Rattus norvegicus: one gene and its partner. The protein of the gene in region 2 interacts with the protein of the main gene of each other region in a biochemical or structural test. Links are inferred from orthologs where the notes say so. Each region holds a gene or a part of one and is shown on either strand. Other genes may lie near its edges. The genes, in order: Sele and Glg1.

Region 1 (4,364 bases), on a different chromosome or scaffold from region 2:
AGCTAAGTAAACAGAGGTGATGAGGGGTGAGACAGTGTCGATATCCAGGAAGTAGAGATGGAAGGACAGGACACAGTTTTATCTCCCGTTTAATTTGTATTGTATAAAAACATTATGATATATGAATGAAGATTTTTTTTTGTAACATCATCATAGCTAATGAATAGAAAGTGAGAAAAAACATGCTCGTGAATGACTCCCTTGGGCCACAGTGCCTGTGAGGATGGGCTAAGGTAGCAGTGGCTGGGGAGAAACTGGGTCCTGATGCATAAGCAACAGTTACACACAAGAAAATTGAGAGCGACAGATCGTGGGTAATAAAACATTCTTCACAAATCAGAGAAAGAACTGGAAGAGCTTGAAGGGGCTCGAGACCCCATATGTACAACAATGCCAAGCAACCAGAGCTTCCAGGGACTAAGCCACTACCTAAAGACTATACATGGACTGACCCTGGACTCTGACCTCATAGGTAGCAATGAATATCCTAGTAAGATCACCAGTGTAAGGGGAAGCCCTGGGTCCTGCTAAGACTGAACCCCCAGTGAACTAGATTGTTGGGGGGAGGGCGGCAATGGGGGGAGGGTTGGGAGGGGAACACCCATAAGGAAGGGGAGGGGGGAGGGGGATGTTTGCCCGGAAACCGGGAAAGGGAATAACACTCAAAATGTATATAAGAAATACTCAAGTTAATAAAAAAAAAAATCTTCACTTGCTTATGTTTGTGAAACCAAGTTCTACACACAATTGATAATGGTAATTAGACTTTAGAGGCCAGGGATTAAAATCACACACTTGTATCGTATTTGATAAAACCGCATATAAATTACAAGAGCCCAGATAAAGGATTAGCTTAGAGGGCCAGAGTCTCTGACATCACTGTGAAAGTGTTTTAGTTCTCAAAAAACTTTCTGGGTTCGGATGAGGATTTCCTCTTTACCAGATTTTGATAATAATGCTCTGTGACTCACAGGAAGCCAGCTCCCTATAAAGAGACTCCAGCAGCAGACACGATACTCACTGGTCCTCGACTGACTGCACATCAAAACTGCTAGAACAGAGAGAAAGAAGCAGGATCAATAACACCCAAGGAATCCAACCCCCGAACAACATCTCATCTAACAGTAAGTGCAGATTCCGAGCCACAGGAGCCTTGGGCCTGAAGCATAGATTTATATCTGTGCGCACATATGCAAAAAGGCATTCTGATAAAAGAAATCTGTCCAAACTGTGATAGCATTGCAATTAAAACCCACCTTCTCTCTGTTCAAAATGATGGGAATCTTAACGTTTGCATTTATTCTTCATGCTAGATGCCTGTGAAATAAAGCAGGAGCTACAGGATTCTAAAACCTCACAGTTTTGACTTGAATGTTACGATAGAAGGGTGTGAGTAACCCGCACTTAGAATGTCCTTCTGTGACTAATTTAGCACTCTCTCCTCAGGAAAGTTTCTCCGGTCTAGCATCTGGATGAAAGGAAGTGCTGGGGTCATGAATGCCTCGTGCTTTCTCTCTGCTCTCACCTTTGGTAAGCTGGAGTCATCGGAGACCAGGGATCTTTACACTCGCTCACCCCTCTCACTCTTAAGATCAGGGTATTTTGCTGTGTGGGGCTATCCTGGTGGTTAGCAGGACTGATGACCTATCCTTGCAGGGTTCTGCCTTATGGGGGAAGGATGGATCTTAAGCGATCTATTCAGGCGTTGTGAAGGTTCATTCATTTGGTTCTTGAAAGGGGACTCAAACAGGTGTCCCCCAGCATCCACTGAAGTTTGCTTTCTCTGACCTCCATTGTACTGTGAAGTTGGAGTATAACATTGTGGTTGCCATGAGGCACCAGCAGATGTGCAGTCAAACAGTGATCTATAGACATGCTCTCACCTTCAGGTGTTGTTCTTCTTACTTTTAAAATCAATAGTTTGAGCCAACACAAAAGCCTGTAAGTGCCAAAAGCAAGACAACACAATTCAGGACTAAATGTTGTTATTTCTTTCTTACCCAACCCAGTTCTCCTCATTGGAAAGAGCATAGCTTGGTACTACAATGCCTCCAGTGAGCTCATGACATATGATGAAGCAAGTGCGTATTGTCAACGGGACTACACACATCTGGTGGCGATTCAGAACAAGGAAGAGATCAATTACCTAAACTCCACTCTGAGGTATTCACCAAGTTATTACTGGATTGGAATCAGAAAAGTCAATAATGTATGGATCTGGGTGGGGACCCAGAAGCCTCTGACGGAGGAAGCTAAGAACTGGGCGCCAGGTGAACCAAACAACAAACAAAGAAACGAGGACTGTGTAGAGATCTACATCCAAAGACCCAAAGACTCCGGCATGTGGAATGACGAGAGATGTGACAAAAAGAAACTGGCTCTGTGTTACACAGGTATGAAATTTCCATGTGGCAGAAGGCCAGTTCTGTGTGGAGGCAGCCTGACAGATTTAGAGTGTGTCAAGTAGTTGATCTCTCTGTGCACATTTTCTGGTTTTTAAATAGATGATTATAAAAGATTTTAATAGTGATTGCATCTCTTTTTACTGATTTGTGCGAGTAAAGGCAAGAACTATACAAATATGTATACTTACATATATCATTGTACCGATATACAGAGTCTATGTACTCACAATGTTTTAGCTATTCTACTGGTATGCCTTTATTACCATCAAAATATACAATAGATGAGCCTGGAACTTGAATCTGGCCTGTCAGTCAAATGTTCGAGCAATAATGTCATTGGTTTTATCTGGATTGCACTGACTCTAAATTAAAAACAAACAAACAAGCAAACCCATGATGAGCACCATGATAGTTGATTCTCTTCATAAGACCTGTGCTTCTTGTAGCTTCCTGTACCAACACATCCTGCAGTGGTCACGGTGAATGCGTTGAGACCATCAATAGTTATACCTGCAAATGTCACCCCGGCTTCCTGGGACCCAAGTGTGACCAAGGTAAATCTTGACCTCCCCTGTACCTTCTCCAAAGATGGTAACACCTTCTAGTGTTCCAGATAGCTCGTCAGTCGGGCCCAAGTGTTTCCTCTAACAAAATACACCGAGTAAGAGTGATATAGTAGCTAAGGCTATGAGATCAGACCCTCATGGGTCAATCTCTAGACTTACTACCCGTATTACTTATGGCACCTTGACAAAGTAGTCTTACGGGGTGACTGACTATTCCAGTTGTCATGAAACTAAGTAACGTGCTGTGGCAGCTAGCTGTAGCTTAGCGTTTTAGGTTCCAGAGAACTATAAAGATAATAATAGGAACAGCTCCATCATCTAATGGCTCCATAGAACCTGGACATAGTTATGTGTGATAACTATGGTGAGGTGAGGAGAAGTACGACTTGATTCTTTTTTTTCCAGTTGTGACCTGCCAAGAACAGGAATACCCTGACCATGGAAGCCTGAACTGCACCCACCCATTCGGCCTCTTCAGCTATAATTCATCCTGCTCCTTCAGCTGTGAAAGGGGCTATGTGCCCAGCAGCATGGAGACCACAGTGCGGTGTACGTCCTCTGGAGAGTGGAGTGCACCTGCTCCTGCCTGCCATGGTAACTCTCCCAATGCATCAAACCTTTCCACTGCTCCTCATTGCCTTAGATTTTATCCAACTTGTAACTTTCCCCAATTCTGTGGAAGATGTGTTCTTCTCTCTCTGGTACCAGTTTGGTTTAGCATAGGATTTCTTTTCCACTTTTTTTTTTTGAAAATAGGTATTTCTGAGATTCTGGTGACATGTAAAGGAAGGGGTCTAGACAGTGGAAGCATGTCTAGACAGCCTCATAACTTTCTCATGGACTTTCCTGTTTGGCTCTCCCATGCAATGGGACCTTGTTTAGTTCTGAATTGATCACGAAGCTTCTCTTTGCACAACAATTTAGTACTCTGGAGCAATTGAAAAGTTCACTGCTTAAGTCCTTTGTATGTTAATATTGCCTTTACACCACGTCATGGATCTTGATCTAGAGGCTGTTGTTTTCTTTGTTTTTCTTGTTTCCATGTGTAGTAAAATAGATCAGAGGCCAGCCAGCATAGTTAAAGTGAATAGTAAAGACTAAAGCATCCATTATGAGTCTGCATGTTATCAAGAAATTGGCACAGGGGTTTGGGCTATGCCCTTTGAAGATGGGTTTCACCTTCTTTGATAAACCCTAATTCAAGAGAAAATGAAAACATCTGTAATTTTCTTTGAGTAAAGCTCTCTCTTCTCTTTCATCTCCTCAGTGGTTGAATGTAAAGCTTTGACCCAACCTGCCCACGGAGTCAGGAAATGTTCCTCAAATCCTGGGAGCTACCCATGGAATACAACGTGCACGTTTGATTGTGAGGAAGGGTACAGGAGAGTTGGAG
Region 2 (3,816 bases):
GGGAAGTCTATGAGTTCATGCCATGTGCAACACATGTCAAGTTAACCTTCCTTCTGTGGAATCACAGAGTAGCCTTCTTTGTGATAAGTCCTAGAACAATGTGATTTCTTTTCAGAATCGCCAGTGAACTTTGAAACCAGAAGAGAGCTTAAGTGTCTGGCATCAAGACGGTGTGGAGAGGGCACAGTCCACTAGGAAGCTGTTATGCTGAGCCTTGGGCACATGGGAGAATCAGAAATGTTAGCTTTAGAAGCCCGGGTTTCCAAAGACAGTGGCGTTGTTTCAGCTGTCCCTAAGGAGCAGGCCCAGTCAGAGTCAGCAACAGGCACCATGAATTCAGGGCTGGCTGGGCAGAGTTGGTCTTCTCTGGAAGCCAGTTATTTCTCAGCAGGATAGCCCTGTTTTCTCTTTCCTGAATAGATTGCTAATTTATGTGCTGAAGAAGCAGCAGCCCAGGAACAGACAGGCCAAGTGGAAGAGTGCCTAAAGGTCAACCTGCTCAAGATCAGGACAGAGCTGTGTAAAAAGGTAGCCACACCCTCACCGTGCCTATCTCCTATCTCCTTTTCTCTATTTTCCTCTTGATCCTATTGCATTATTTATTGAAGGAGAGACAGAATAATGGTCAAGAAGCATATTATGGTTTGGAAAGAGGTAACAGCATAGAATGCTGGGTAGGAAGGCTTATATTTTGTATTTTGAATACCTTTTTGGTTTTTTTGAGACAAGGGTCTCTCTGTGTATCCCTGGCTGTCTTGGAACACACTCTTTAGAGCAGGCTGGCCTCAAACTCACAGAGATCCACCAGCCTCAGCCTCCCAAGTGCTTATGCCACCACAGCCAGCTTGAATTTCGTTTTCAACCAGCTCCTACCTTTCTTCAAAATGTGGACTCAAACGCATTCAGCACGGCCTTTGTAAAATAGACTCTTATTTGATTGAGTGCGTGCGTGCGTGCGTGCGTGCGTGCGTGCGTGCGTGCGTGTGTGTGATCTGCATGTGCATTTGTGCATATAAGTCCCTGGTGCCCAAGGAAGCCAGAGGTACTGAATATTGTAGGTGCTAGGAACCAAATTCAGGTCCTCGGAAGAGCAGCAAGTGCCATGTCCCTAGCCTCTTGATTGAAAATAGAGCTCAGAAGTCAGCCTTACAGCTGTGTGTTAAGATTCTCAGTCCTTATTGTTCAGTTTTCCTACAGTAAAAGAACAACTATTAAATCAATAAAATTCTAACGTATACATACTTTAAAATAATGTGGCATGCCAGAGTGCCAGGGACCCTACCTGATCATCCGTCATGGACGCACTGTCCTAGCTTCCTCAGAGGTAGTTAACAGATTAAATTAGGTGCCAGAAGTCTGTATTCTGTGCAGATTTAGCAATGTTACCGCCCACCTTCCCAGACTAGTTTCTTGGTCACCTTCACTCTTTGGCTTGTTTGTTTGCATGTTCTGTAGAGTGTTACAAACACAGATTGGATACATTTCTTCTACAAAGCTCCCCACAATGAACTTCCCTTTCAGGAAGTGTTGAACATGTTGAAGGAAAGCAAAGCAGACATCTTTGTGGATCCAGTTCTTCACACAGCGTGTGCCTTGGACATTAAACACCACTGTGCAGCCATCACCCCCGGCCGTGGGCGTCGTGAGTAATGTTTGTTCAGTCTGTCCCTGTCTGAACTGTCTTGGGTGGGACAAAAACTACCTGTGAGTTACCAGGTGCAGCTATTCTATTCTGTGTCTCTTATCCCAGCCACATACAGCATCTCTACGTGTCAGCTTGATGGTAAAGCTAGGCCTTGATGGCCATGAGTTTGGGAACAGTTGTACAGGTATGAATTGACCAGAGCCAGAGATTTCATGAAAAAATACATTTGTGCTATTTATTAGAGAATCAATAATTCAGGTATAGCTAGGCATAGTGGTGCACACCTTTAATCCCAGCACTTAGAGGCAGAGAGAGGCAGATCTCTTTGAGTTCAAGGCCAGCCTGGTCTGTAGAGAGAGTTCCTGGAAAGCCAGAGCTGCATAGAGAGACTTGTCTTCTTAAACAGTTCAGTCACCATCAGTATCCTCTTTCCCTCCCCACACTGAGCATCCCAGGGGCCCTCGAAGGCACCATGGCAGCTGCTGGGCGTCTGGACCCCAGGTGACAGACAACTTGTTTCTGAGCCAGGGACACCCAACAAAAATAGGAGGTGATAAGAGATCTTGAGCAGCTGACGCTGGAAACCACACTCCTCGCCAGTGGGATCTTGATTAAGGTTCTTGGAAGGAATTTGATCAGTTGGTCCCAGAGAGCTGAGTTCTCAGGTGCTTGAGAATCTTCTGGCAGATTTGGCAGCCATCACTTCCGTGCAGTCGCAAGCCTCTGCCGTTTGCTTCCACAGAGATGTCCTGCCTGATGGAGGCCTTGGAAGACAAGCGCGTGAGGTTGCAGCCCGAGTGCAAAAAGCGCCTGAATGACCGAATCGAGATGTGGAGTTATGCAGCCAAGGTAAGGACCAAGAGAGCTCCTGATGTGGCAGCCTCTTTTGCCAGTTTTTATCTCTGTGGCATATGTGACTGGTGTTATCCTGGCTAGAAATCGAGCAAAAGGTATATTTCAAAAATCAGGTCAGGTGTGATGGTGTACAGGCTGTATAGAGAATCCCTGTCTCAAAGGAAAAAAATTATTGTTTCTAAATCTGGACTGTTTATGAACCCTGAAATACCATCGCCCTCACAGAAAACTAAGTCTACAAAACACTGTCTCAGTTTCCCAGACCCCAGTACTGACAAGTCATCGTTCCTCATAACTGTCAGCCATCCCTTCACTCCTCAAGGAGTGAAGTCGCGTGTGAAGCCCCAGGTTAGGTGGGACAGCAGACACTAAGTCGTCCTCCTCCCCTTTGAGCTGCTCAGGTTGAGGCTGAGTGACTCAGAGTCGCTCACTGCTTGTTGTGGGCCAGCAAATCTCACTAATCGCCCCCTTCCTACGCCGCTCTTACATATCTACCAGGAACGTAGGAGCCACTCAGGTTTCCCTTGACCACGCTTCCGGGACCATACCCAAAAGAGCAGTTTTATGTGCACTTAGGAAACCTTTGGTCCTGACTCTGTCATCTGAGGCACCACACTGATCCATTGGCGGATGCAGTAGGAATTAAGGATGAAAAGAGTTAAACCATCAATGTCCAAGACTGCTGTGTGCTAAAGTGTAGTCTGTCATTTTAAGCGATGATTATACATTGTTTTTGATGTGGAAATACTTACAACGTAGTGCTTAATAAGTAAAGTCAAAATAAGAAACTTGATGGAGAACAGCCAGTGCTGTGGTGCCCGCCTGTAACCCCAGTGCTTGGTGCCTGAAGCACGTGCATCACAAGTCTGAGGCCAGCATGCAGGACCTTCATCTAAAAAGAAACACATCAAAACGGCACTTTTTATCCACAAAAGAAAAGGAAGAAAAGAAAAACATAAAATGTGGTCTCGGCTTTTCAGGCTCATGCAAGCAGCATCAGGAGCTGCTGGTGGCGCACTGACCGCTCCTGAGGATGACCTTGGTCCCCTCCTCTGGCTCAGTTTGGGCAGGAAACCTATAGCGTATGGCCCAAGAACAGTGTTGTAGCTGTGTTGGTTTCCTTCCCTGGCTCCCTGTGAACTAAAAGATAGGAATTAGGATATACATGATGGCTGAGGGACAAACCTGAAGAGCAGAGGCCAATCCCGGGAGCCTAGTCAGAGACAGAAGGAGTAAACCAACTCCAGAGTGGTCCCCTGGCCCCCACATGTGCGCCCACATCTTAACATCTTACACATACAAGCACACGCACAGAA

What was found.
Region 1: the proteins of Glg1 (region 2) and Sele form a complex in vitro, tested with the Homo sapiens proteins (2 studies listed by BioGRID and IntAct). The link is inferred for Rattus norvegicus from reciprocal best matches to the Homo sapiens genes GLG1 and SELE.

Annotation. Positions count from the first base shown.
Region 1 is NC_086031.1:78,935,021-78,939,384, forward strand, and holds the start of Sele (E-selectin precursor), read left to right. Parts: upstream 1-1,493; coding exon 1,494-1,530; intron 1,531-2,009; coding exon 2,010-2,393; intron 2,394-2,851; coding exon 2,852-2,959; intron 2,960-3,376; coding exon 3,377-3,565; intron 3,566-4,238; coding exon 4,239-4,364. UniProt on the Homo sapiens protein: Cell-surface glycoprotein having a role in immunoadhesion. Mediates in the adhesion of blood neutrophils in cytokine-activated endothelium through interaction with SELPLG/PSGL1. May have a role in capillary morphogenesis.
Region 2 is NC_086037.1:56,039,325-56,043,140, reverse strand, and holds part of Glg1 (Golgi apparatus protein 1), read left to right. Parts: intron 1-420; coding exon 421-528; intron 529-1,455; coding exon 1,456-1,642; intron 1,643-2,387; coding exon 2,388-2,494; intron 2,495-3,816. UniProt on the Homo sapiens protein: Binds fibroblast growth factor and E-selectin (cell-adhesion lectin on endothelial cells mediating the binding of neutrophils).